Danio rerio: one gene and its partners. The protein of the gene in region 2 binds, or shares a complex with, the protein of the main gene of each other region. Links are inferred from orthologs where the notes say so. Each region holds a gene or a part of one and is shown on either strand. Other genes may lie near its edges. The genes, in order: lsm7, smx5, lsm3, sart1, snrnp200, lsm5 and prpf8.

The links.
Region 1: smx5 (region 2) and lsm7 share a complex: the UniProt entries of both Homo sapiens proteins name them as parts of the precatalytic spliceosome. The link is inferred for Danio rerio from reciprocal best matches to the Homo sapiens genes LSM2 and LSM7.
Region 3: smx5 (region 2) and lsm3 share a complex: the UniProt entries of both Homo sapiens proteins name them as parts of the precatalytic spliceosome. The link is inferred for Danio rerio from reciprocal best matches to the Homo sapiens genes LSM2 and LSM3.
Region 4: smx5 (region 2) and sart1 share a complex: the UniProt entries of both Homo sapiens proteins name them as parts of the U4/U6-U5 tri-snRNP complex. The link is inferred for Danio rerio from reciprocal best matches to the Homo sapiens genes LSM2 and SART1.
Region 5: smx5 (region 2) and snrnp200 share a complex: the UniProt entries of both Homo sapiens proteins name them as parts of the U4/U6-U5 tri-snRNP complex. The link is inferred for Danio rerio from reciprocal best matches to the Homo sapiens genes LSM2 and SNRNP200.
Region 6: smx5 (region 2) and lsm5 share a complex: the UniProt entries of both Homo sapiens proteins name them as parts of the precatalytic spliceosome. The link is inferred for Danio rerio from reciprocal best matches to the Homo sapiens genes LSM2 and LSM5.
Region 7: smx5 (region 2) and prpf8 share a complex: the UniProt entries of both Homo sapiens proteins name them as parts of the U4/U6-U5 tri-snRNP complex. The link is inferred for Danio rerio from reciprocal best matches to the Homo sapiens genes LSM2 and PRPF8.

Annotation. Positions count from the first base shown.
Region 1 is NC_133197.1:10,401,045-10,405,205, reverse strand, and holds the start of lsm7 (U6 snRNA-associated Sm-like protein LSm7), read right to left. Parts: upstream 2,801-4,161; 5' UTR 2,786-2,800; coding exon 2,780-2,785; intron 2,538-2,779; coding exon 2,447-2,537; intron 2,344-2,446; coding exon 2,272-2,343; intron 1-2,271. Other genes in the region: sass6 (spindle assembly abnormal protein 6 homolog), read left to right, coding at 3,159-3,223, 3,374-3,434, 3,524-3,603, 3,723-3,827. UniProt on the Homo sapiens protein: Plays a role in pre-mRNA splicing as component of the U4/U6-U5 tri-snRNP complex that is involved in spliceosome assembly, and as component of the precatalytic spliceosome (spliceosome B complex).
Region 2 is NC_133181.1:30,702,522-30,706,709, forward strand, and holds smx5 (smx5), read left to right. Parts: upstream 1-1,388; 5' UTR 1,389-1,464; coding exon 1,465-1,467; intron 1,468-1,883; coding exon 1,884-1,951; intron 1,952-2,063; coding exon 2,064-2,094; intron 2,095-2,186; coding exon 2,187-2,246; intron 2,247-3,108; coding exon 3,109-3,234; 3' UTR 3,235-4,169; downstream 4,170-4,188. UniProt on the Homo sapiens protein: Plays a role in pre-mRNA splicing as component of the U4/U6-U5 tri-snRNP complex that is involved in spliceosome assembly, and as component of the precatalytic spliceosome (spliceosome B complex).
Region 3 is NC_133197.1:33,572,435-33,576,720, reverse strand, and holds the start of lsm3 (U6 snRNA-associated Sm-like protein LSm3), read left to right. Parts: upstream 1-1,486; 5' UTR 1,487-1,549; coding exon 1,550-1,570; intron 1,571-1,763; coding exon 1,764-1,874; intron 1,875-4,286. UniProt on the Homo sapiens protein: Plays a role in pre-mRNA splicing as component of the U4/U6-U5 tri-snRNP complex that is involved in spliceosome assembly, and as component of the precatalytic spliceosome (spliceosome B complex).
Region 4 is NC_133196.1:30,364,959-30,367,784, forward strand, and holds the end of sart1 (U4/U6.U5 tri-snRNP-associated protein 1), read left to right. Parts: intron 1-1,882; coding exon 1,883-2,004; intron 2,005-2,088; coding exon 2,089-2,107; 3' UTR 2,108-2,326; downstream 2,327-2,826. UniProt on the Homo sapiens protein: Plays a role in mRNA splicing as a component of the U4/U6-U5 tri-snRNP, one of the building blocks of the spliceosome. May also bind to DNA.
Region 5 is NC_133183.1:33,107,129-33,110,628, reverse strand, and holds part of snrnp200 (U5 small nuclear ribonucleoprotein 200 kDa helicase), read left to right. Parts: coding exon 1-73; intron 74-145; coding exon 146-334; intron 335-1,781; coding exon 1,782-1,979; intron 1,980-2,198; coding exon 2,199-2,351; intron 2,352-2,446; coding exon 2,447-2,527; intron 2,528-2,612; coding exon 2,613-2,696; intron 2,697-2,792; coding exon 2,793-2,899; intron 2,900-3,467; coding exon 3,468-3,500. UniProt on the Homo sapiens protein: Catalyzes the ATP-dependent unwinding of U4/U6 RNA duplices, an essential step in the assembly of a catalytically active spliceosome. Plays a role in pre-mRNA splicing as a core component of precatalytic, catalytic and postcatalytic spliceosomal complexes.
Region 6 is NC_133187.1:13,906,748-13,910,727, forward strand, and holds the start of lsm5 (U6 snRNA-associated Sm-like protein LSm5), read right to left. Parts: upstream 2,801-3,980; 5' UTR 2,719-2,800; coding exon 2,673-2,718; intron 1,911-2,672; coding exon 1,815-1,910; intron 574-1,814; coding exon 546-573; intron 1-545. UniProt on the Homo sapiens protein: Plays a role in pre-mRNA splicing as component of the U4/U6-U5 tri-snRNP complex that is involved in spliceosome assembly, and as component of the precatalytic spliceosome (spliceosome B complex).
Region 7 is NC_133190.1:30,766,022-30,770,260, reverse strand, and holds the start of prpf8 (pre-mRNA-processing-splicing factor 8), read left to right. Parts: upstream 1-1,439; 5' UTR 1,440-1,558; intron 1,559-2,162; 5' UTR 2,163-2,173; coding exon 2,174-2,294; intron 2,295-2,393; coding exon 2,394-2,562; intron 2,563-2,662; coding exon 2,663-2,827; intron 2,828-3,224; coding exon 3,225-3,443; intron 3,444-3,522; coding exon 3,523-3,735; intron 3,736-3,813; coding exon 3,814-3,939; intron 3,940-4,034; coding exon 4,035-4,140; intron 4,141-4,221; coding exon 4,222-4,239. UniProt on the Homo sapiens protein: Plays a role in pre-mRNA splicing as core component of precatalytic, catalytic and postcatalytic spliceosomal complexes, both of the predominant U2-type spliceosome and the minor U12-type spliceosome.

The DNA of each region.
Region 1 (4,161 bases), on a different chromosome or scaffold from region 2:
ACCATTGATATAATGATAATAGTCAAACACAGATGTCTTTACTCTTAGGGCGGGGTTTTTTCGTATTTTCGGATGTGTTAACACTTGTAGTTTAGTCAGTTTGTTTGGACCAAACAAAAAAATTATACATAGTCCTAGTTTGTCAAGCTTTCATACTCTGATTTTTGACAGAAAAGCAGCTGCATTTATGACATTCAATTCAGCTTATTCAGCTTTATTTGTATAGCGCTTTTACAATGTAGATTGTGTCAAAGCAGCTTCACATTAATGGTCATAGTAACCGGAACAGTGTAGTTCAGATTTTAGTGTTTAAGTTCAGTTCAGTTCAGTTTAGCTCAGTTCAGTGTGATTTAAAATCATTACTGAGAGTTCAAACACTGAAGAGCAAATTCATCAATGCGTAGCTCTACCAATCCTGAACCATGCGAGCCAGTGGCGACAGCGGAGAGGGGAAAAAAACTTCACCTGATAGGAGTGAAGAAAAAAAACCTTGAGAGAACCAGACTCAGTTGGGCACGACCATTTTAATTTCTCCGCTGACCAAAAGTCATGTGCAGAGCTTCAGTCACCGCGGTGGATTCTGTGACTTTAAATTTTCAAAACAATTCTGTATGTTTAGATACACTTGTTTGCTGTATGTGCATGCACACATTTTTTAATCAGTTAAATACGGTGCCCTAGAGAGGACAAATGCAGTGTAAACATGCAAATAGAAAAACACTTACAAACTGAGAATTAATCGTCATTAGTTTAGTAACGTGAATGCAACTTCCAAAATATGCACATAGAAATGTTTTGGGGGACCTTTGGGGCAGCTTTCTTTTTAGAGACAGTGGTGTTGTCAGCATTTAAAGCTAAAATTATCCAAACACCAGGGAATCATACAACTAGGACGTTAAAGTAAAACACTCAGCTCTTTGACAACACCACCACCTCTAAACAGGAAGCAGAGGGTCGGGTTCATTACATTTTCAGGTCCCCCGACACATTTCGGTGCATATTATCACATTCAGGAATATGTGTCTCAGCTTTCTCAATCTGTGTTTTTCTATTTACCTGTTGTTGTTTTTTTTTTAGTTATAGTTTATCCGAAAACTAACCGTTTCACTACTAGATTTCAGCATTTTTCAAAATATCTTCTTTTGTGTTTAACAGAAGAAAGAAACTCAAAAAGGTTTGAAACATATAAAGGGTGAGTATTCAATGACTAGGCGTGGGACAATAACTGTTTTAAGGTTTATCGCGGTTTGAAAAGTCAAGGTTTTAAAAACGTTAAAATTGTCTGTTATACCGTTCTCAAGGTATTTGTAAGTTTTTTTTTTACGACTATTTTATTGAGTTTTTTTGGGCAACAATAGAAAAGGACCATCCACATCACAAGTTACCATGATTCAGGAAACATCTGAAAAACAAATCTCTTATAAACCAACATCCAGCATGCTGTAGAGCTGAACAGTGTAGATGATTTTTTTTATATCCAAAGAAAAGAAAGATATCCAAAGATGCCTTTTCAAGTTGAAAAGAAATCTGTGCTTTTGAAACTAATTAAGACAGCAGAAGTCAATGACATTCAACAATTAATAAACAATAAATTATTTAGCCTGACATTATAGTTTCAAAATATTTTAAATGTTAAAAAATATAAACCATGTTCAATGGGGGAAAAGTTTTTTTTTTACTCAGACATTTAAAAATAAAATATTTTGGAGCAGTATGTACAATAACATGATATTGTGTAACTGTGATATTTCAACCTAAGGTTATCAACCGTCAGAATCTTATACCAGCCCATGCCTAACAATGACAGTATTCATTTTTTTAGGGTGAACTATTTAACTTCAAGTGCATTTAAACTCTCTCAGAAAACCATATTAAATGTGTCAAACCAACACCAGAATTTCCTCTGGCTCACACACACCCAAATGAAGATCTGCTGAGACTGTTTCTGATGCCTGAACTGAACGGTAAGGAGCAACATTGTTATGCTGACAAAAATAGCTATGCTGGAGCATTCTGCCTTTTTATGTTTAATATCATGGCATCATGTCCTCTTTGGGTTGATTTAGATGCATTTATATATCAGTCAACCCACAAGAGTTTGTATGTTGCTTTATATAATTTATAATTTAATAAATTGATTAATTTTATAATTTAAATTGCAGCATTTACACTAAAATTTGTTCAAAACAAACCACACTAACATTAATACTGTGAGAAATTTAATGCAGAACATAATTTGGTACATATTCGGTTTACATTAGCACATTTTACCTCGCATGTATTCAATGGTGCCGTCCAACACAAGATTCAACAACGGGTCGAAGCCTTTTAAGACGCCACTTGCTGAAAATAGGAAACACTAGTGTCAAATTTACCACAATTCATTTAAATATCATAATGTGAAACATTTAAATTCATAATTAATTTCATAAAGCAACTCCCTCACCTTCGCGACCTCCTTGAAACTTTACACGTATATGTTTGTCGATGTATTTCGACAAATCAAAAATACTCTCCTTCTTTTTCTTGTCTTTGTCCTGAGGATCCAAAAACATATTATATAACAATCTCCAGGCCTCTATAATAAATATCAGACTCGTAGCTTAGCACAAAAATACACCACACATCACATTTACAATTACCAGCACACCCTAATGTGTAACAACATAAATATCAAGAGTGTAGGATATATTCAGGTGCTTATATGTTTGTTTATAACGCCGTTTGTCCTTAAAAGTGTTTATAATGTGAACGGTGTGGAAACGTTTGCGCTACTCACCGCCATGTTCAAAACTCCTCTACGCCCCGCCCACTCCGGGTTCACGTTTGACGTCTACCTCTCGGCCAATCACAACGCGCGCAGGTGAACTCTGATATCAAATGTTTTCAATTTTATCAGCTTTATTCACGCACAACTACACAGTATATACAGCTTTAAATGTTTATATCTATATTATACGATTTATAAAAACAAAAACATGTTGAAATACGATGATACGCGTGATTAGGTTGAAGTGTTTCTCACTTCCGGTTGGAAACGGACAAACGCGGGAGTGAAGCGCGAAAAACAAATGAGTCTTTCAACAACCTAAATAACATCTTTAAAACAGGATTACACGATTTTTAATTATTATCGTTGCTTTGTGAATGAATTAGGAATGACGGAATTACTTTTTAACAAGCGGTTGCAGGTGCTGGTGAAGAGTAAAGATACCGATGAGAGGTTTGTGTTGATTGTCTTGTTTTTGAACACAATGCCTAACTTAAATTGATTTATGGTATGAATTTTGGCTTTATTTTGTCTGTAATTATTAACATTTCGAAGTCTGTAAGGGTCTATATGTGTTTATATATGTTGTTTTTGTTACTACAGGCGTTCGGTTATTCGCGTTAGCATTGAACTGCAGTTACCATCCAGCCCTGTTCACAGAAAGGTTTGTTATTAACATGTGTACAACCATATTTATGCCTTTAAGCATGTTTTATGTGGTCTTATAACTTTTTTTAAATTTTTGATCAACAGGATTTAGTTGTACGGCTGACTGATGATACTGATCTTTACTTTTTATACAACCTTATCATATCAGAGGAGGATTTTCAAAGGTATTGTGGTATTAAAAGTGTCATTTCATCAATGAGCCATATTTATTTTCAACACTTTGCTATTAGGCTTCTATGTGATTATATTCTGTGTAATCGTTTTTATTTGCTCTTCTTCACAGCTTAAAAGTACAACAAGGGCTTTTAATAGACTTCACATCATTCCCACAAAAATTTATAGACTTACTTGAACAGTGCATTTGCGAACAGGACAAAGAAAACCCACGGTAAGAGGTTATAATTCATAATAATGTTCAGATGTTGCAGTTGTTAAAGTGATAGACAGGCTAAAGTCAATAATTACTGATGATTTAGTCAACCTCAGGACAAAAATTTCTTATTGGTTCTTCACTGAGTCAAATATTAATACTGTTTGGTGTTTATTTCAAAAATATAAACTTTTTGAAATGAAACTTATATAAAATTTTATAAATATCTATCTAACTATCTATCTATCTATGGGAAAAAATAAAGAGACCCCTTGAAAACTCTATATTTGTATTTGTCTGTACATGTTTGAAAACATTTCTTTTTTTCTTCTAAATTTCAAATCAAATAATG
Region 2 (4,188 bases):
AGTATATCAAAATAAACTACAAAATACCTCAGCCACAAAATGTATCAAAATAAAATACAGTATTTTTGTATTTTAAAAAATTCTACAAAATATTTTTAAATAGGAACATGATATTTGTTGGCAAACCTTTCATTAATAAGCCCATTTGATCAGTCCCTTCACCATTAAACTGATTCTTTAATACTCAGTGTAAAAACATGATTTCTGAAACTTTCAAAAAATTATCTTTTTTTGCAAATAAACTTTTCATATATTATATCATGTTCCTTCTGTATAACCTGTCAGAAGTTTTTAATTATTAAATGTGCGTTTCTCATGTTGTCACTTTTACATGTTTAGGCATACAGTACATCTTTCTTTTTCATTAACAGTACAGTGCATCTGCAGATCAACTACTGGCATTTGAAACAGCATCGGAATCGCCACTCATTTATTCATTCATTGTCTTTTCGGCTTAGTCCCTTTTGTAGGACTTATTGTAGGACTTATTGTTATGTTGTTTGTTTCAGTGACAAACATTTAGCATCAAAGTATTTTACAATATTTTAAACTACAAAAATAAAAGACATTAATGTATTTTTAATACAAAACATTAAGCCATTTCCATCAACCCTATCATAAATACTGCCCATCCCTGCTTATATTCATTCTAGGTAATTTTCAGAATGCTTGCTTTTAAAAACAGGAGAATGCATATTAAAGCATAATGTTATAAGAAGGCTCTATATGTTTAGGAACATTTATCTTTAAATTATAGAGAATCCAAAATCCATTTTTATTTTCAGAAATGTTGAAAACTTGTAAGCACTGACATTCATAGTATTTGTTTGTCATACTATTAAAGTCAATGGTTACAGGTTCCCAACGTTCTTCAAAATATGGAAAGATCAAGATGGTTTTAAACAAGTAAATTGATTAAATTGGCTGAATTTACATTTTTTGGATGCACATAAATACATAATCGTGAAAAACATTATAATCATTAGCATGTCGTGGAGGTTTTGTTTTGTTTTACAATATAGCGTTTTGTAAGTGGACTGCTTTTTTGTTTTATAAATGGGGATAACGCAGAGGATTAACCTGAGCCCTGGACTGTGCTTTATTATTATTTGTCTCCATCTGCTGACGAAAGAGGGAATTGCCAGAAAAGAGGAGCCATGTACGTGTATCAGCAAGCTCTGTGTCAGACATGTCATGTACCTCTTCGGGCATAAAGTTGACTGTTTTAAGAAAATATTTCACATCCATTGAACATGCGCCTTTTAATCTCTTTTGTGTGATGAACGATTGCGGAATAATTTACTGAGATGAGTACAAATGACGCAAAAACAGAACAAAACGCCAACAATTTCGCGACCAATGGGATTTTTACGTCTTCATTCTTCTAGCCAATAGAAGCACAGAGTGAAAGACCCGGCAGCTTTTTGATGACGTATGTGATCTAAAGCACAAAGCCGCGTGAAAATGGTAAGTGTTGTTATTTAGCAATATCATACAGTAATTTACGTTTAAGGAATTAATAAACGTGCTACGACCATTTGTTTAACATATTTAGGTTTTTTTGACCACTGTGTTCGCGAGAAAGACAAACAATGCTTCATGCTAACAGCTAACGCTAGCTTTCTTCATAGCCAAATAAAACAACATTCTCAAGCAAGGATTATCCCCTTAATTAAATGCCCAACAGAAACAACTCTGGCTGACTCCTATTATATTAAAGTCTTGGTATTTCATTTGCCTGCGTAATTTAGAAAGCAGTGTTATTTGCTGTTGACATTTCTCATTTGGTCTGTTGATAAAACTTGATTCAATCGTTTTATCGATGTCTTATTTGCTGTCCGCCTCATATTTTGAGAGTAATTCCTTCAAATGTTTATTCTCAGCTCTTCTACTCGTTTTTCAAGTCTTTGGTTGGCAAAGATGTTGTGGTGGAGCTCAAGAATGACTTGAGGTGAGTGCTCACCTTTCTTTTACAAATATTATATATATAATTAGAAATTGAATATACATATTTTATAATGTATGTGCCAGCTCGTAAAACTATGAACACATCTATTTTGCAGCATATGTGGAACATTACATTCAGTTGATCAGGTACGGAAACTGACTCCACACGTTTATTAATATAAACAAATATTGGGCGATTTAGGATTAAGTTAATCTTGTCATTTGTTCTTCCCTCACAGTACCTGAACATCAAACTGACAGATATCAGTGTTACTGATCCAGAGAAATATCCGCACATGGTGAGAAATGGATGAAATGAAAATTACACTCATAATCTTGGGTCTAATATCTTTATCAATGTCATGGAATTTTAAAAGGTTCATTTCAGACATTGAAATTTAGGAAATGTTGATATATTTTTGTCAGATTCATGGAATAACAGGGATTTTTTGTTTGTTACTTTACATTTTAGCTTTTCTTTATTAAAATATATTTGATATTTACAGCCATGCAAACCGCAAGTATTTTTTTTTTATATTAAGTAAATTATCATTTGTTGTTCTCATAGTGGCTATTAAATGAATGTAATAAAATGGCTAAAACCATTTCAATATATTTTTAATTTAATATTACAATTTTTTATAAGCACTACAGAAGCCTGTTATGTTCATGTCATGGTTGATATATTGGTTTATGGTAAAAGTACAGAAATTAATACTATGAAAAATCTGAAAATAGCAAGTGTAGGACCAATTTATTTTAAAGAATATTCAAAATAAAATTTTTTTTTGAATACTAAGTCATCTTTATTTTTTGAAATATGCAATAAAATATTTTCAGATTCTCATATAACATTGCTTTGGTTTTATTGTCAAAAAAACTAACTAGAAAGCAAGTGTAGAATTGCAACAGGATTTTTTTTTGTAAACCAACAATGCTGTGTAGTGAAAACCATTATTTAAAACGGTGAAAATACGGTCAACCATTTGATAGAGCAGGCAGCTAAAGGGTTAAAGAGGGAACCCTGATAATTGAATTGATTCCTAAATTAATGTAGATCAGGTTATTAAGTCTGTGATTTATGAATTGTCATAGTGATGTAGGTGCTCAACAAGGAGAACTTTGGTGTATATAGATGACTCTAATATTGTTTTGTTGTAGTTGTCTGTGAAGAACTGCTTCATTCGTGGATCAGTGGTGCGATACGTTCAGCTTCCTGCAGATGAAGTGGACACACAGCTACTACAGGATGCTGCACGCAAAGAAGCTACACAACAGAAACAATAATGTTTATATTTGAGAATAGTTTGGTTTTGTTCCAATGTTCAGAAGCATCATCTGTGGAGTTTTGTTGATTTAAATGTTTTTCTTACCTAAAACATGTAAAGTTTTTTTTTTCTCTTTCATTTTTACGTCATGTGAAGCCTGTTATTGAGGGTGTGATTTACTGTTTTTTTTTTTTTACTTCACAAGTTAGTGGTTGTGTGCTTTTAATGAGTGTTGGTAAAGTTCTGTACTGCATACCAATGACTTTTAGTTAGGTTCACACATTGATGCAAAAATAAAGTATTTTCCTCTGTTTTCACACTTTCCTTTTGGTGGAAAAAATCGTCCATTGTTGGAGTTCAGCTGACAGCATTTTACAAATTATGTTCGTGGAATGCTGGTGTTTTGGTTTAGGCAGGCATGTCCAAACTCGGTCCTGTAGGGCTGGTGTCCTGCAAAGTTTAGTTCCATACCCAATCAGACACACCAGGGCTAGCTAATCAAGCTCTTACTAAAAACATAATTGCAGATGTGTTGAGGCAGGTTGGAGCTAAAATCTCCAGGACACCGGCCCTCCAAGATTGAGTTTGGACACCCTTGGGTTAAGGTGAATGGATAGTTTAGCAGAGGTGTCAAACTCAATTCCTGGAGTGCTGCAGCCCTGCACAGTTCAGTTCCAAGTGTATTGGAGCAGGGTTGGGTTTCAAAGAAGCCCGAAAGATTTAATTACTTTAATCTGGTTGTGCTTACTTAAACTGAACTAAACAGTGCAGAGCTGCAGCCCCCCCAGGAACTGAATTTGACACCTGTAGTTTACAGCCTAGTCCCAAACAAAAAAGTAAGTTGTTTAGAGTAAAAGAAACTCGTAGTTACTGTTCCTAAAATATACCAGTGCCTTTGTTTTGTGTTTTTTAGGCACTTTTATGCGCTAATAAAGTAATCATGGCTTTATCAAAGCGAATGTAGACCACACTA
Region 3 (4,286 bases), on a different chromosome or scaffold from region 2:
CTGTATTATAAATACACCATATTGAAGCGGTTTAATTATTTCAAGCATTAAATTAAGCCATTGTTAGATTTATGAAAAATCAACTTTTCATTTAAAAATCAATAAAAGTCTGTCCTAAATTTAATATAAAAGGTTTCTGCATATTGTTTTATACTTTAGAAATAAAATGATGTCATCTGAGGTTACGAGGGAAAAAGCTGCAGTTTCCACATATATCCAGCAGGGGTCCTTATGCATCTATTCATTTCAGCTTTTACTTCTTGATGCTTTAGGACCCATCCCATGCTTGAATGTCTCAGTAGTCCTTCAGCGTTAGAAGGAATGGTAGGCTATAAAATATTTTCTCAGCTTACACAGTCGATCTACATAACTGAATAGCAACACAGGCACAGGTTACTGCATCTATTTTTTAATATATATATATATATATATATATATATATATATATATATATATATATATATATATATATATATATATATATATATATATATATTTAACTGACTGTCACACATTCTCAGCATTTGCTTTTAGTTGAATTTCAAGTGCAGCAAGCTAAACTTGTTATTTATTTCTTAAAGAAATATTATAATAATTTACTGTCATGTTGTGTGACATGCAAAAGAAAATATTTAGAAAATTTTAATATTCAGAAAGTTTTTGTTTCCAATTTTTATTTGTGCTCTAGACCCAGGCCTTTGCAGAAATGTTAAACTTTTTAAAATTTATAATGGGTTTAAAATTCATTTAAAAAAAATAATCTTAATTTTTTTTCCACTTTTCTCATTTTTTTTCAGTGTGGTCAGTTTGACCTCAAACACCATAAGTTTTTTTTTTCTTTTTTTTTTTTACACATATAAAGCAACCAAATCAAGTCCAGTTGTGACTGTTTTGTTAAAGGTTGGACTGATGTGACCCCAACATTGCCTAATTGATAAAGTTGCAATTTCATATGCAAAATTGCATATAAATAAACACCAAATAGCCTACTCTTGATAACAATGCAATCCAGATGATCAGCCTCACAACTTTCACTATACAACTAAATTGTCTAATTTTCCTTTGCAGGAAATGTGAGATGGGCTTTCCCAGATATGAAAATGCGGAATTTAAAGGAAGCAGGAGGAGATGTGTTTCAAATCTAACAGGGAGGGGGAATAGTACTTCCATACTCACAAACACAAGCTTTTTTCAGGAATGTCTGTGCGATCACTGATCCATCAATGTAGAAAAGGGATGAAAAATTATAATTTTCGTAATTTAAAAAAAATAAATAAATAAATAATTGCACAGTGACATCCGGGAAAACTCCCGATCATAGCCTATGTGTATATCTTTGGCTTTGGATGGTCACAGCTTGCATTCATTTCAAAGGAGCGGTTCCCTGTACTAACATGGTGGATCTATTGACGCATTCCTTCCAATAGACAACAACAGGGTAGGCGACATCTAACGTATATATCTATGTCTAACAGGAAGCAGATGCATTTTCCGTCTAATGATTTGTTCGCGAGAGAAACGGAAAATGCATTCTGGGTAGATTTGAAAGATGGCGGACGACGCTGAGCAGGTTTGCAATTTTTGCTTTGTATAAATATTTCGTTAGCTGTTTGATTATCGCGGAGGTTAATCGTATTAATTGTGTTTATTTTTAACTAGTTGAACACACGGGTAGCCTATGCTAAAGCAGCTTGTAACTACGACGATTGTTTGCATGGACATTTTCATTCAAATAAAATACATCACTGAAATTTACTTTACAGCAACAGACCACCAACACCGTAGAAGAGCCTCTGGATCTGATTCGGCTCAGTCTGGATGAGAGGATCTATGTAAAGATGAGGAATGACAGAGAACTGCGTGGCAGACTGCATGTGAGGGGAATACTACATTACATACTCTAAGTTAGTTATACTGCACGTGAGGGAAATGCCACATAATATACTGCATACGAGGGGAAAATACTACATTAAATACACGTTTCTACTGTACGTTATTGGAAAAAATACAACCTTAAGCATATTATATAACGTTATACTAAACCTGATTCAAAATACTACATTAACCATTATATAATGTTACATAAAGTTAGTTACATTGCACGTGCAAGAAAATACTAAGTTACATTGTGTATATATAAGTTACACTAATTATACTGCACGTGAGGGAACATACTACATTAAACATTATACAGTTATACTGCACGTGAGGGAAAATACTACATTAAACATATTATAGACTCTAGTTAATCTGCATGTGAGGGAAAATGCTGCATTAAACATTATTAAATTGCACTTGAGGTAAAGTACTTTTATAGATATATTGTTAGCCTTCACGTGAGGGAAAATTCTAAATTAAACATTAAATATTATAGTTAGACTGCATGTGCGGGAGAAATACTACTTTAGTATATACTCTAGTTCACTGGTTCCCAACCTTTTTTTGCCTGAGACCCCCTTTTTCCCTGGAAAATATTGTTAGGCCCCCCTCCACATTTAATGATATAATCGCTCATATAAGTTTGCACTAATAATGACAAAAAATATTGTTTCAAACAAAGCAAAGGTAGATCTCCAGGAACAGGATTGGCCACCCCTGCTCTAGTTAGACTGCGCTTGAGAGAAAAAACTAAATTAAACAGATTATACTCTAGTTATCCTGCACCTGAGGCAAACATTAGGCATATTATATTTATCATTATTATATTTATGTTCATTCATTCATTTTCTAGTCGGCTTAGTCCCTTTATTAATCCGGGGTCGCCACAGCGGAATGAACCGCCAACTTATCCAGCAAGTTTTTAGACAGCAGATGCATTTCCAGCCGCAACCCATCTCTGGGAATACTATTTATATATATATATATATATATATATATATATATATATATATATATATATATATATATATATATATATATACTAATTAAACTACAACTGCACATGAGGGAAAATACTTATATAAATATTATATACTCTAGTTATACTGCATGTGAGGGAAAATACTACATTGTAGTTATTATATACTCTATTTATACTGCACATGAGAGAAACTACCACATTGTACATATTATATACTCTAGTTCAGTGGTTCTCAAACTGTGGTACGTGTACCACTAGTGGTACGCAGGCTTCCTTCTAGTGGTACGTGGAGGAATAAAATATGTCATGTACATGCTACACACATTTCAAAATTGATAAAAATGATGTATATAATGTCATATGACATATAGCCTATATTTCTCATGTAATCTGCCACGTTTTTTTAACTGTGCAGAGTTGTAGCTGCTTTACTGGGCCTACAAGGCTATTGTATCTCAATACTGCTCATTTTGGTGGTACTTGGAGAGACAATTTTTTTCTGAGGTGGTACTTGATGAAAAACGTTTGAGAACCACTGCTCTAGTTATTCTGCCCTTGAGGGAAAATACTACATTTTATACAGACTCAAGTTCAATTATGTCTCTAAATGTATTATGTTCTGTTATTAAAGTCACATGAATTTGGTCTGTGGATTTTTTGGAGAAAATAAAGGATAAAAACATGTAAAAGTGAATTGATAAAATCTATTAAAATGTAATAATCAAATGTTTTATCCTAATAATTGACTACACGCATTAGTGTAGTATGTAAAGTGTTTAGTAAAAGAAAGGAAACATACAGAGGATTAAAATAATATTTATATTGTAATTGTATTTAGATCTAAAATACAAGTCTAAACTAATAGTCTACAGCAGTTCTAATGTGTTATTTTAACAGTACGTATGTATATATGAACAGTATATTGAAAAATCTGTTTGATTTTAATAACAAATCACAGAGATAAGGGATCAGAAAAATGTAAATGTTTTGTATTTTACAGAGGTAAATAAACTTATGGATGACCAAAAATGTACTGAATACAACTTCCTTTGTGTGAATTAAACAGCACAACCAAAAAGGATAAATGTTGACATAAATATACTTTTATTATTTTAATATTCATTTCTTTAAATATTTATTTTCTTTTATTTACCATATTTGCATTAACAGGGCTCGAAATTGCGACTATTTTGGTCGCATATGCGCCCGAAATTTTATCTATGCGACCTTAAAATATATTTGGGAGCATTTCTGCGAGAGCTTAAAATTGTTGTGTGCAACCAGTTTGTCTGCTCTTTGTCTGCAAAAATGCAGCGCTCGGGAATGGTTTAAAACAGTTATCATGTCAACTTGTTGCAGTAAACAAATCCAAGTCCGTAATGCTTGCCCTGCCTTTGCGCTCTTCTTATTGGCCCACCACTGCTCT
Region 4 (2,826 bases), on a different chromosome or scaffold from region 2:
TAATATTTGGTTCATGAATGGGTTGGCAAAATTAACTGAAATGAGCATCCCTAACTGGATTGTTTGCACTTTGCAGGATTAAGTGTAAGATCATTTTACTTTGCTCAACCAGACGATTATACCAATTAAAAACGTCATTAGCTAGGAAAGGAGTGGTTTGTTTTAAAAATATATATTGTTTAAAATTTTATAATAATTGCTAAATACAATGTATTATATAAAATTGTTGTATTATAAATATGAATATAAATTAATTGACACTTTGACGCTACATATGGGCTTTGTTAAACTGTAAATGCTGCTGCTTCAGTGAAAACATGGAATTGGTGGTGATTTCTTTTATGATAACCCAATAGCATTTATTCATTCAATACAAAAATTATGCTTTTTTAAAATACTTTTAATAGTTTTTATTAGGAACAAATAACAAGTGGAAACAAAACAAATAATAATATTGATTAAAAACAAAAACAATATATAAATATACACATACATGTCTGTCTGTCTGTTTGTCTGTCTGTCTATCCATCCATCAATAACTCATTTCTAATAGCTGATTTATTTTATCTTAGCCATGATGACAGTAAATAATATTTGACCAGATATTTTTCAAGACACATCTATACAGCTTAAAGTGATATTTCAAGGCTTAACTTGGTTAATTAATGTTAACTAGGCAGGTTAGGGTAATTAGGCATGTTATTGTATAACGATGGTTTGTTCTGTAAACTATTAAAAAAATCTAGCTTAAAGGGGCTAATAATATTGACCTTAAAAGGGTATTTAAAAAATTAATAACTGCTTTTATTCCAGCCGAAACAAAACAAATAATTCTCCTGAAGAACAAATATTATTAGACATACTGTGAAAATTTCCTTGTTCTGTTAAACATCATTTGGGAAATGTTAATAAAAGAAAAAAAATCAAAGGGGGGCTAATAATTCTTACTTCAACTGTATATTTATTTACACAGACACACACACACACACACACACACACACACACACACACACACACACACACACACACAAATGCATAAATTCCACACATATGTACATACAAACATAAATATTACATTATCCTCTTCAAGAAATAAATAAAAAAAAAGTTTGCTAAACTTATTCTCAATGGTTCATAACCTCTAAAATTATGTCAATGTTAAAGTATGGAAAATTATATTGTCATTGTGGTGAAAGTCAGCCATTAACTCCATTTTTTTTCCAAAGATCTCTCTTTGTAATCAAAATGCATGTGTCATTATTTCAATTTCAAAGATGATGCATTTAATAGTTAATCAGAATGTGTAAAAACTCATTTAATATCAATTTAAGAGGGGAAAATATCCCAAATATGCGGATTTAAGTAATTACCAGCTGATATACAACACTGGATAAATTCTGCTTAATTATATTTAATAATCATACTTCCTATTTGGACAGATCATTTTTATTCCTAGAAAGTCTGAATGAGAAGCACATGGAGATTTCTGAATAAATAAAGAGATTCTTCACCCAAAAATACAAATGTACTCTCAATTCGCTCTCTTTTAAGATCTTCCAAAAAAAAAGAGGATATTTTATTTCTTATGTTCAACACAAAAGAAGATGCTTTGAAGAAAGATGAAAACCTGTAAACACTGACATCCATAGTAGAAAAAAAATACTATGGAAGTTTATGGTTAGCGATAAAAATTTTTTCAAAATACATTCATTTGTGTTCAACAGAAAAAAGAAACTCAAACAGGTTTGAAACAAGGGTTAGTAAATTGATTGATTTTTCTTTTTTTTCAGTATAGGGTGAACTGTCCCTTTAAGGCTGAGCTCTGTATACTATCATTGTTGTCAAACTATAAAGCTAATGTCCATTTTGCTTGTCCGTGCAGCTGCTGAAGAAGATGAGCAGCAGTGATACTCCTCTGGGAACCGTGGCACTTCTGCAGGAAAAGCAGAAATCACAGAAAACTCCTTACATTGTGCTGAGTGGCAGCGGGAAAAGCATGAACGCGTACGTATTTTATTTACACTTTCCTTTTCATTCTGTCTGTATTCTGTTCAGTAATTGGTTTTATCTTCTTCTTTTTGTTTACAGAAATACCATTACAAAATAAATCTTTATTCTGGAACAGAAGGACAGAAAATCTCACAAAATGCGCTCATTTTAGCTGTCTCCTAAACACAGTTGCAACTGGTGATGTATATACAGACATTGTCTTGTATGTGAATTTAAGTCCCTTATTTGATTTAACTTTTTTGTTTTGATTGACAGTTCTCTGTAGAACCTTATCTGTCTTGTTTTTTTCCCCTCAATAAAAACTGTTGCGATTTAAGACTGGGCTAATGTCATCTGAATATATATATATATATATATATATATATATATATATATATATATATATATATATATATATATATATATATATATATATATATATTTTTTTTTTTTTTATTTACACTGATTATATCTGGTGTGGCACAGTGGCTCATTGGTTAGCACTGTCGCCTCACAGCAAAAAGGTTGCTGATTCGAGTTGGCGTTGGTTTAATCCAGGTGCTCCGGTTTCCCCTCACAGTCCAAAGACATGTATTAAAGGTGAAATGAATAAACTAAATTGGCTTTAGTGTATGAGTGTGAATGTGAGTGTATGGGTGTTTTCCAGTACTGGGTTGCAACTGGAAGGGCATCCTCTGTGTAAATCATATGCTGGAATATTTGGTGGTTCATTCTGCTGTGGTGGATGAGGGACTAAGCCGTAGGAAAATGAATGATTATATCTTACAATGTTTTTCACTCAAGTTTAGATCAGTTCTGTTTCTTGTCCAATTTAAA
Region 5 (3,500 bases), on a different chromosome or scaffold from region 2:
AATCAAAGGCACACAGGTTTACAGCCCAGAGAAAGGCAGATGGACGGAGTTGGGAGCACTGGACATCCTACAGGTCAGTGTTTTTCATCAATCTTTTAAGAAGTTAATTGAACTGTGGGTAATAACTCTTGACTTTTTGGTGCAGATGTTGGGTCGTGCTGGCAGACCGCAATATGACTCTAAAGGAGAGGGTATTCTGATCACTTCTCATGGAGAGCTGCAGTATTACCTGTCCCTGCTCAATCAGCAGCTGCCCATCGAAAGCCAGATGGTGGGAAAACTAGCTGACATGCTGAATGCAGAGATTGTGTTGGGCAACGTGCAGAATGCCAAGGTGAGTTGTAAATGCATTTGGATTAGGGTTATGGTTAGTTTAATAGCAGGTGTTTTTTTATATAGGTTTAATTTAATTAGTTTTTTGGTGATATATCAAAGGCGGTTTTAAAAAAAAATTAACTGTCTACTTGTGGCACCCCCTTTATAAGATGTGGAATATATACATAGATTGTAATTTTACATATTGCTGTGAATAATAATCATTAAATAAAGATACCATTATGCCTAGTATTTTCCAATACTTCTGGGGGGAAAAAATGAATGTAATTTTTATATAACTTTTTAACTAATTTTAAAAACATCAGTCATAATTTTTACTCAATATTTATGAAGTTGAAAATGTTGCTTTGCTAATGCTTTCTGTGTCTTCCAAATTATAGTTTTTGATTGATTGTGAAGCATATTGTTGAAGAATTTGTTTTCAAAATTAAAGTTGTTTATTGTACTTGAGTAAATTGGCAAAATATTTACTTCATATTCACGCAGCACATGTTTTTTTGGCGTTGATGTTAACAGATTAAAGCTTTCATACTGCGCACAGAAGCAGCGCATAAGCACAAGGTGTGAGCGCCACTGAAGTGATATTTTCAGCGGTGGGTCTATTTTTGCCGCGCTTCTCACGCTTAAATAAAGTGACAAAAAAATGACCAAAAGCACATTGAATGATAGTAAAAAGTTGTAATTTTACCCAACAAATACATTGATAATATCCACTGGTTTTTATATATTCAATCAAATGAACTTAAACGAATAAAAACAGCAACAATTATTTGTTTGGGCCCGAACTACAAAACTAAATTTAAAACCATTTTAGTATCAGTTTTGCTTCATTTGCACACTGGTTTGATCACGTATAAATATTATTATAACTTTAATCCTACATTATCCTGACAGTCAAAAACAAAATGACATGATACCACATGTCTAAAAGACATAAATGACACTCCTCATAGAGCTTGAGACGCATACAGTTCTTTAAGATCTATATCATTTGTAAAATAAAGACTTGCAGGTCAAGGAAACAGCCTTGGAGGAAGTTGCCCTGGGCCTTGATGCAGATGAAAAGTAAAAAAAAAAAAGTGCATAGATGGATAGATAGATTAGACAGAGATAGATTGATCTGTGCAACAGCTGCTGATGAGCTGTGCGCTGCAGGCGCAGTCAGTGTGAAAGGCAAATGCCTTCGCGCTGCCTCTACTCTCCATACCACTGCTCACGCTTGCGGTAAAAAGTACAATAATGTATTTCTCATTATTATTGCACTATTTGACTATTGGAACCTTACCATTACTAGATTTATTTCCAGAATTAAAGTTTTACATTGTCATTTTTCTACAGCACACACTTGAAAATATTATTTTCTACAGATAATATTGCACATGCTTAACAGCAGTATTTCTCTGTAAATTCAACATCTCTAGCAGTGATTGGTCTATTTTTTTTAGGATGCTGTAAATTGGCTGGGATACACATACCTGTATGTGCGCATGCTGCGTAACCCCACACTATACGGCGTGTCCCATGACGACCGCAGCATAGACCCCCTGCTGGAGCGTCGCAGGATGGACCTGGTGCACACGGCAGCTACCGTCCTGGAGAAGAACAACCTGGTCAAATACGACAAGAGATCTGGCAGCTTTCAGGTACACACTGTTCTTGCTCATCACATTAACCACTGCTCTAAACACCTCTTGGCACATCCAGATGATTTATATGCACAATCAATGCCGAGATTGTACCAGCTTGAAATCCCCCAGCATGGCATAATGGATTTCAGCACGGCTGCCTGAATCTATTGATTAAATATTTAAACGGCAGCAACAGATGTGCTTTAAATGATGGCTAATGTGTTTGCATTGAAGGTGACAGACCTGGGGCGCATCGCCAGTCATTTCTACATCACCCATGAGTCCATAATGACTTACAACCAGCTGCTAAAGCCCACACTGAGTGAGATCGAGCTCTTCAGGGTGTTCTCGCTTTCATCTGAGTTTAGGAACATTACTGTCAGAGAGGTACGTGCCTTGTTTTATTTAACCAGACGAATTGGTTCATCCAAATATCTGCTTCCAGGATTTAACAAGCGTGGTTCTTACGTTCTGATTGACAGGAAGAAAAACTCGAGCTTCAGAAACTGCTCGAGCGAGTCCCTATTCCAGTGAAGGAAAGCATTGAAGAACCCAGTGCAAAGGTTTTTTTTTTTTTTTAAATACATGTCAGTTGTACGTGAAGTTGGCTGATCCTTTTTTATCTTAAACGTTATGTCTATTTTTCAGATTAACGTGCTGCTGCAGGCATATATCTCTCAGCTCAAACTGGAGGGCTTTGCTTTAATGGCTGACATGGTCTATGTGACGCAGGCGAGTGTAGAATAAAATCTTGTCTTATAATAAAAAAACATTTTTCCCTTCAGTCTGACTGATTTCCTGTATTAACATTGTGTTCGACTTTTGCAGAGTGCTGGCAGGCTGATGAGGGCTATCTTTGAGATTGTTTTGAGCAGAGGCTGGGCCCAGCTTACCGACAAGACTTTAAACCTCTGCAAGATGATTGACAAAAGGATGTGAGTTGTCTTGATGTTGACTTTGGAAAGAATAATTATATTAGGGTGTCCACTGGGCCTTAAAGTCTTAAATGTGCTGAAACATTGTATTGTAGGTCTTAAATCTTTTTAAAACAGGTCTTAATTTTTCTTTGTTCATGTAAATCTACATAATCTGGCCAACACCAATACAACAATGCAACTTTTTAATTAAAAATTTCATTTTTAACTCTGTTTACCATAATAGTTTAATTATTTTCCTTACTATAGCATTTGTTTAGAAGTTATCCATATATTAACTGCAAAGGATACTAACCTGACATATCTATTATTATTAAAATATTATAATTATTATTTTATTAAATTATTATTATTTTTATGATGAGGCAAGTGAAAATCTTTTCCAACTGTGATATTCTAAAAAATATCCTTGCGTTTAGCCCTGTATAAGTCTAAAATTTCATTCATAATGGTCTTTAAAATGTCCTAAAGTCTTAAATTTAACTTGGTGAAACCTGCATAAACCCTGTATATACATTTGTCTTGTCATGTGATGTTCTATCATTTGTTTTTGTTGTTTTTCATCAAGGTGGCAGTCAATGTCTCCATTGCGTCAGTTCCG
Region 6 (3,980 bases), on a different chromosome or scaffold from region 2:
CTTGAATACATGAGTGTACACTTCACATTCAAGTACACTTCACATTCAATTGATTTTTTTTTTTTTTTAATCAATGATAATACTTGGAATTATTCTTTAATAATAATGTCACAAAATATTAAACGGTTTCAATAGTGATAAAAATTTGCTAATACCATTGAACTTCTAACTAAGCATACTTTAAAAAAAGTTTCTAAAAAGATTAGAAAATGCCTTCTCTATGCAGTATAGTTTATAGAATAATTAGAATACAGTATAAATAGTCTAATGGTATAAAACTTGAGCTTTAGTTAATCTCTAGAACGAAAGTGCTTTTTTTATTGATAGTTTATCCTAATAAAACAAACACCTAAAATTTTGGAGACAGGATACTGATCGTTTGAAACTCGAACAGCATTTAGAACAATAGAAGGTTGAGTAAATGTTGACAATTAAAATTTTTGAGGGAACTATCCTTTAAGTCAAAGCAGAAGAGAATGCATGAATACACTGTGCAAAGACAATTAAGCAAATATTTAATATTTTTGTTTAGGAAATATACTTACAATTCTGTGACATCCTCTAGGACCATGTCTGATGTAAAGCATCAAGGAAATGTACAACATCGCAAAGATAACATTACATAGACATTTACATTTCTCTGTTGACAACATGTGATGTAGTGTATTGTATTTTTTTATTTAATGCCATGTCAGCAATGCAAGGCTATTTTCATGGCAAGAACATTTCAATAATAAATATACAATTAAAAAACAAAAACAAATGAATACATAAATTAAATACATCTTTAAATGCTAATACATTTTTTTATAATTTTTTTACTATTTTCCAGGTGTCATTTTGCTAAAAATGTCCTGAAGAGACATCATTTGATAAAAAAAAAAAAAAAGCCTTCTGGAATTGTTAAAAGCAGGACAATCCAGTAAAATCTGTTTTACTGTAAAAGAAAGTGTGATGTGCAAATATTGAGCAGGGTCTTCACATTTGAGCAAAAAAAAAAAGCATGGATCATTCTTGCATGTCCAATACAACATCTAGTAAAAATCACTAAATCAAATTTAGTCTTAAAATGACTAAAAATTCAGTTTGAGATTTCAGGTTGTATTTCATACAGTTTATTATTTCTCAATGCATCCTACTCCTCTTGCCACTTATTTAAAAAGTAAACGTTGATAAAAGATTTCATCTCTAAAAGAGGAATTTGGCATTCGTTCACAACTTATTTCAAAGCATCCTTAGCTGCTGGATCAAGCTCGCTCGTTTCCTGAAAGCCCAACATGTCCCGGAACCCAGCAAAAAAAAAAAAAAAAAAATATGAAAAAAAATGGTTTTGTAAATGGTGAACTTTAGTTATAATATCATTAATCAAAGGATGATCATTTTCTGAAGATTCCATCACTTGGAGGCATGATTTGGAGTCTGTAAATATGATAGAGTTCTTTTGTTGGACATTTTCTTATATTAAAATGCTAAAACTAAAGCACAGGCTAATGAACATTCTTTAGGCAGACTGATTCCACAACGTTGTTGTTCAGTAACCATTGCTGCCGTTATGCCATTTTCCACCCTGGAAGAGCAACCGCTGCGTAAAACATATGCTAAATAAGTTGGCGAGTCATTCCGCTGTGGCGACCCCAGATTAATAAACGGACTAAGGGAAATAAAGGGAAATCTTATGTGTAACTATATCTTTAGCTAGCAGTATTTATAAAAAAAAAAAAAAAAAAAAAGTTGAATCCAAAACTAAATTGTAAACATCACAAATATTTGACAGTGTTTTGTTTATTTTTTTACCGCCAGTAGGTAAAGGATACTGACAAAGTCGTCAAACCCAAGCAGAGTTCCCACAATCTCTTTATCGTTCTTCATAACGATGTGAATCCGAGAGCCAATGCACTTATCCACCAGCTCTGAAAGACAGCACACAATCCCCATCATAAACACAGTCACATCATTGGCTGTTAAAGGAAACATTTTGAGTGGTCAGTGTGATATACAACTGTAAAACCTTGTAAAGAAATTCAATTTATGTTAAACGTTACTTCAACAACTATACAGCCAAGGTAAGTTTTTAACGAACCACGTTTAATAAAATTTAAAATTTCTTTGGCTTTAACACTAGGTGTGGGATTGAGTAATATGTTAATACCAAATTCATTCTTTAAAGTACTAATTTTAGGCTTATTTGACTCAACAACAAAAAAATCCTGCGAGTAAAGAGTGGAGTGGCTTTTAATCATTTGACACGGTATCTCTAATGTCGTAACTCATACATAAAATTTTATTTTCAGAGTATCTTACTTATAAATACATCTTAATGGAAATTGTTAATGATAAATGTGTTCCCAAGTCATAATTACAATATTTTAAACTCCAACAGAGGGAAACATATTAGTGATTTATTTTTTTCGCCCACACTAACTAAATGAACTGGCTTCCGTTTATATATAATCAATCACACATTGATGTATAAATTTGTGAAATTAAATATTTAAGTTAAAATAAAAACACATTGACATGATTAGGGCCACATCTTTTGTGCACAGGTGTATTCAATTAGATAAAAAAGCAAAGTGAGTTACGAACGTGACTGATTGGCATCTCTGCCCCGTACAAAAACACAAAAGTTATGTCAGTAAATGATAAGCAATTTTAAAGAAAGTGAAACAAACCGAGTGGTAAAAGCTGCGAAGGATTCGTTGCTGTGATTGCCGCCATTTTGATAACAGACCTGAATAATCGGGACCGGAAGCCAATTACAAGCATGGATAATCGATATCAGCACACATCGATAGCATCTTCTTCTTCTTCTTCTTTCTGTTTTATGGCGACTAACAATTAAAAGCATTATCGCCACCTACTGTACCGAATCTTACTCCGATGAAAGGGCAACAAAAAGAAACGAGGAGGGAGGGAAAGGGGGGAAAAAAACACCTTGGATGTTTCATATTGTCCAATCTTTGCATCTAGACCACATACTCATGTCAGCACTGCGTGTTCAGCTCCTCTAACATAAAGGGCCTTTATGACAATGATTGAGAATACTCTCATCCATAAATATAAGACTATAATAACCTAAATCCGAATACTCTATATACCTAATAAACGCTCTATATACTTGCCAATCTATTATACCTTTTCCTAGAATAATTTTATATATTGTTTTATCTTCCCCACACTGACTGAATAACATATTGCGATGTTTATTATATTTGCTACATATAAATAGTGCATAATCCACATTTTCAGTTACACCACATACATCACATTTCCCATCCTCATGTAAACCCATTAACGCAAGTGTTGCATTTAACCCTGTGTGTCCCAATCTTAATCTTGATAACCACACCTCTTCCTTCCTATTTCTTCCTTGATTTAGTGTTGTCCCTACTGTCTGTATAATACTATAGTGCCATCTTCCAGTATTACTATTATCCCATCTAATTTGCCATTTATTTATTAGTTTTTCCTTTAAAATCGATTTTGCCTCTCTTTTCCCCAGAGGTACATTTACTTCCTCTTGCTTATTTAGTGCTTCCTTTGCTAATTTGTCAGCAACTTCATTACCAGATACCCCAATATGTGATGGAACCCAGCAGAAATAAACGACTACTCCTATTTCCTTTAATCTATATAAAGATAAATAGATTTCTGTTATTAAATCCTCTCTATCTGATTTTGAGTTTGCTATACTAACTAAGGCTGAAGATGAATCTGAACAGATTACTACTTTGTTTACATCGATAGCATGAGAGGGGCTTGGCTTTTTGTACAGCCTGTGGCTGTAACATTAGAGCAGTGTTACCCAAGTTTTTTCTTTTAAAGGGCATGTCAGTCAGTCAAAATGTTGCATCATATAGGCTACCAAACTGTATGTCACAGTAATTTGTCACGGTAATTTGGAGTTTTATAGCTTGATTATAGCTTGATTAATTTTTCCATCTCCCAGTATCTCCTCTCTGATGGAATGACGGACCAAA
Region 7 (4,239 bases), on a different chromosome or scaffold from region 2:
CCGTTACTTATTATTTAATTTGGCAGACACTTTTTATCCAGCTATACTTACACATGAGTCGAATAGAAGAAACCTAATCAATAAAATAATAATAACAAAAATTAAGACTAATGCAGTAAATAAAATAAAAAAGAATGGAGAAAGGTGGCCTTTAGAAGGACGAGACAGCCTCTGATTTAAGCTGTAATAAACTCCTTATCAAACTTGCAAAGTTTCACAAGTAAGCTTTGGAAGCAGGTAAACTTGATTTCTGCCACAATTGTTTTCAACACATCTATAATATGGAATTATCAGAATGTGCTGTAGAGTAGAAAATCTATTTCTATTAAAGAATTGGTGGACAGAGGAATAGTTCTTATTTTAGATTTATTAAAAAAGGACGGTAACATTTACTCTTACTTTGAGTTTTCTGCAATTTTCTGAAGGGATACTTAGCCCAGAGTATGATTTGGTTATAAAATCTATTTTAACAAAACTATTATATTTGACTAGAACCTATGCTTATACAGACTTAAAATGTGAAATGCACAAATTAGTTATTTATTAATTAGCTATTGGATAAATTACTTATATTAAATGTAATAATTAGCACATTAGAAGAAATTTTGTTAATAAGTCTAGCTTGTACCGAAAAGCATTTTATAACTTTAAATTAAATTACCCGGTTCTATCCCTCATTACAATTTGGCCTGGTATCAATACGTTTTTAGTACCAAATAAGATGACAGAACTTTATTTTAAAATCCTTCATAATTACTATCCCTGTAATTCTTTACTATCTAAATTTAATAAAAACAATTCTTTACAATGCACATTCTATAAATCTAATAGTACAACAGTACATTTATTTTTAGACAGAATATCTTGGCTTGTCTTATCAGCTTATAAAATCCTTATTGATTTTAAGACAATTATTTTATTGTTTTTGTTTTGGGAGTCAGATTGTAAGGAATTGGACAGTGTGTTGACATTTTTACCTCTTTGTGGCCTTTTCCATCTTCACAAATGTAGAGTTATTCAGTGTTTGCCTAATAGAACATTTTGTATTGACTTAAAACTTTATTATGAATTGCTAAAGAAGAAAGCTGCCAAGACAACTGAAATGCTGAAGATATATATATATATATATATATATATATATATATATATATATATATATATTTATATATATATATAAACATTTTATGTATTGTTTTTTCTTAGCCTTTGTAACATCTTTGTAACTAGCTGTACAACGAATATGTATCATTAGTATTCTGGTCACACAATATTAGGACAAATTAATGTTTTATGTGTCCCCTATTACTAATGTTAGTAAAAAATTAAAAAGGACAGCGAGACTTTTCAAATCCGGTGTCATATCCGGAAGTTGGGTCCTACGCATTTTCTTACGTTCGAAGTCGTAGCTTGTTATCATTTCCGTTGAGGTAGAATTGTTCAGATACGTAAGCGCTTTGGAGAATGGAAAGACTCTACGCACAACGTGCATAGTACGCCATTCCGCTGAGCACAAAACCACCGTACAACTACAGTCACTGGCGAGAAACTGCTTTTAACTGTAAGTTATTTCATTCTGTACGAGCTTGTGCATATTTTATTTGCAAGATTTCAAAGTATCACTTACGATTTGAAACTGTTTGTTTCCGGAAACGGTTTACTTGTTGTGTAATATTCGGTAAGCTAAGCTAACATGCTAACTAATGCGTTATCGATGCCACAGAAACTAATCAAACCACATACATTCATACACACCAGTCGTAAATATTGTTACTTAAGATAAAGACTGTGTAAAAGTCTACCCGGTGGCTGTCTTGTGTAAATAAATAGTTTCTAGATTATTTTTCGAAGGTAAGAAAAGAGTTCAGGCGCGATAGCAAGTTAGTCGGCTAAGTTCATTGATGTGATTGTTATGAAAAAAATGTGATTAAGTTATGTACTTTAAAGCTAGTTGATAATACTTCCACATTTTAGTTTCTTTTAGAACGATTAAATTAGCATTAGTTAGGTCAGTCTTCCTGCTTACTGAATTCTTATTTAGGTTTTGTTGTTGTTGTAGGCTTGTGAGGACGTGTTTTATTGAAATAATTGTTGTCTTTTCTGTGCGTTACTCATGTTTTGCAGTGTAACCTTCTATATTTATGATTTAATGTTTCTGCTTGCAGTAGACGCTGCCATGGCAGCTCCTTTCCCCTACAGAGGTCTTCCTGGACCAATGCCTCCAGGTGTTCCTCCACCTCCTCCTGCTGTTGCTCCAGTGCCAGATTATATGACTGAGGAGAAACTGCAAGAGAAAGGTGCGTTGGCAAAATTCTTGAGGTTAACAACGGCATGCAATTTGTACCCAAGACTCAAAGTTTGTTTCCTTTTTTTCAAATGAAATCTCCTTCTTGTAGCTCGTAAATGGCAGCAGCTGCAGGCCAAGCGCTACTCTGAGAAAAGGAAATTTGGCTTCGTGGATGCTCAGAAAGAGGACATGCCACCAGAACATGTGCGCAAAATTATCAGGGATCATGGTGACATGACGAACAGGAAATTTCGTCATGATAAAAGAGTCTACCTAGGGTAAGAACATTTGCATCATTACAAAGGTAGCTGGTTTTTATATGATTATCATTATTAAAGTTTTTTTTATGTAAAATTAATTGTTGTTTTTAATCTGCAGGGCCCTGAAGTATATGCCCCATGCAGTGCTCAAACTGCTGGAGAACATGCCAATGCCCTGGGAGCAGATCAGAGATGTACCTGTGCTCTACCACATCACAGGCGCTATATCTTTCGTGAATGAAATCCCTTGGGTTATTGAGCCAGTGTACATTTCTCAGTGGGGGTAAGTGGCTGTGTGATGTCACTTGTGAGAGGATAGATTAGTGGGAAAAAATGTTGGCTAAGGCCATTTGTAGTATTTTCTTGGGGTGCTGCGTAGTTGTGCAGTAAATTGTGGTTATGCGACCAAAGTGTAATTTTAGCAGTAAAAATTGTCATATTATTGTAATTAATTATTAACATTAAAACATCTTATCATTACCGTATTTCAAAGTAAAACAAGGAAAATTAAATAAATTAATTTTTTTGTAATATTTTGCTTGTCATATTTGAGAAGGAAATATTTTGATTGAAAGATTTATAGTGCCCTTTTTGGGGAGAAGCTGTAGCAATATTGTTTATTCAATTTTTTATTTTTTTTTATTGTTTTATAATGTTTAAACTGTTTCTCTTTACACCAGCACAATGTGGATCATGATGCGTCGTGAGAAGAGAGACAGACGGCACTTCAAGCGCATGCGTTTCCCGCCATTTGATGATGAAGAGCCTCCTTTGGATTATGCAGACAACATCCTGGATGTGGAGCCTCTGGAGGCGATCCAGATGGAGCTGGACCCTGATGAGGACTCTTCTGTCACAGACTGGCTCTATGAGCATCAACCTCTGAAAGACACCACCAAGTGAGTGTTGGGGACAATTTTAAAAATATGGTTACTTGCTTCATTTGTTTATGGTTTGTCTTTTTTCTTCCTTCCACAGATACGTGAATGGGACCACATACAGACGATGGCAATTCACTTTGCCAATGATGTCCACTCTGTATCGATTGGCTAATCAGCTGCTGACAGACTTGGTGGATGACAATTACTTTTACTTGTTTGACTTGAAAGCTTTCTTCACCTCTAAAGCTTTGAACATGGCCATTCCTGGAGGACCTAAATTTGAGCCACTTGTCAGAGACATTAACCTCCAGTACGTACTGTGTCCTAACTGTGGTATATTTGGCAATTGCTTATGTTATCCAGGGATCTAACTTGACTTTCGTTTTAGGGATGAAGACTGGAATGAGTTCAATGACATCAACAAGATCATCATCAGACAGCCAATCAGGACAGAATACAAAATTGCATTCCCTTACTTGTACAACAATCTGCCACATCATGTGCACCTCACCTGGTAGGAACCATTATCTTTCCTTCAGTTCAATCATTCACAAAAACTCTTGAACTGATGTTTTTAAGTGAACTGTTGTTCTGTGGTGGTCTATACAGGTACCATACACCAAATGTGGTGTTCATCAAGACTGAAGATCCTGATCTACCCGCCTTCTACTTTGACCCTCTGATCAACCCCATCTCTCATAGGCACTCAGTCAAGGTCAGAAATTAATTAAACTGTATGAATTAAACGTCTGTGCATTCAGTCCACAATTATTGCAAAGTTGTATTTTCTCCATAGAGCCAAGAGCCACTGCCA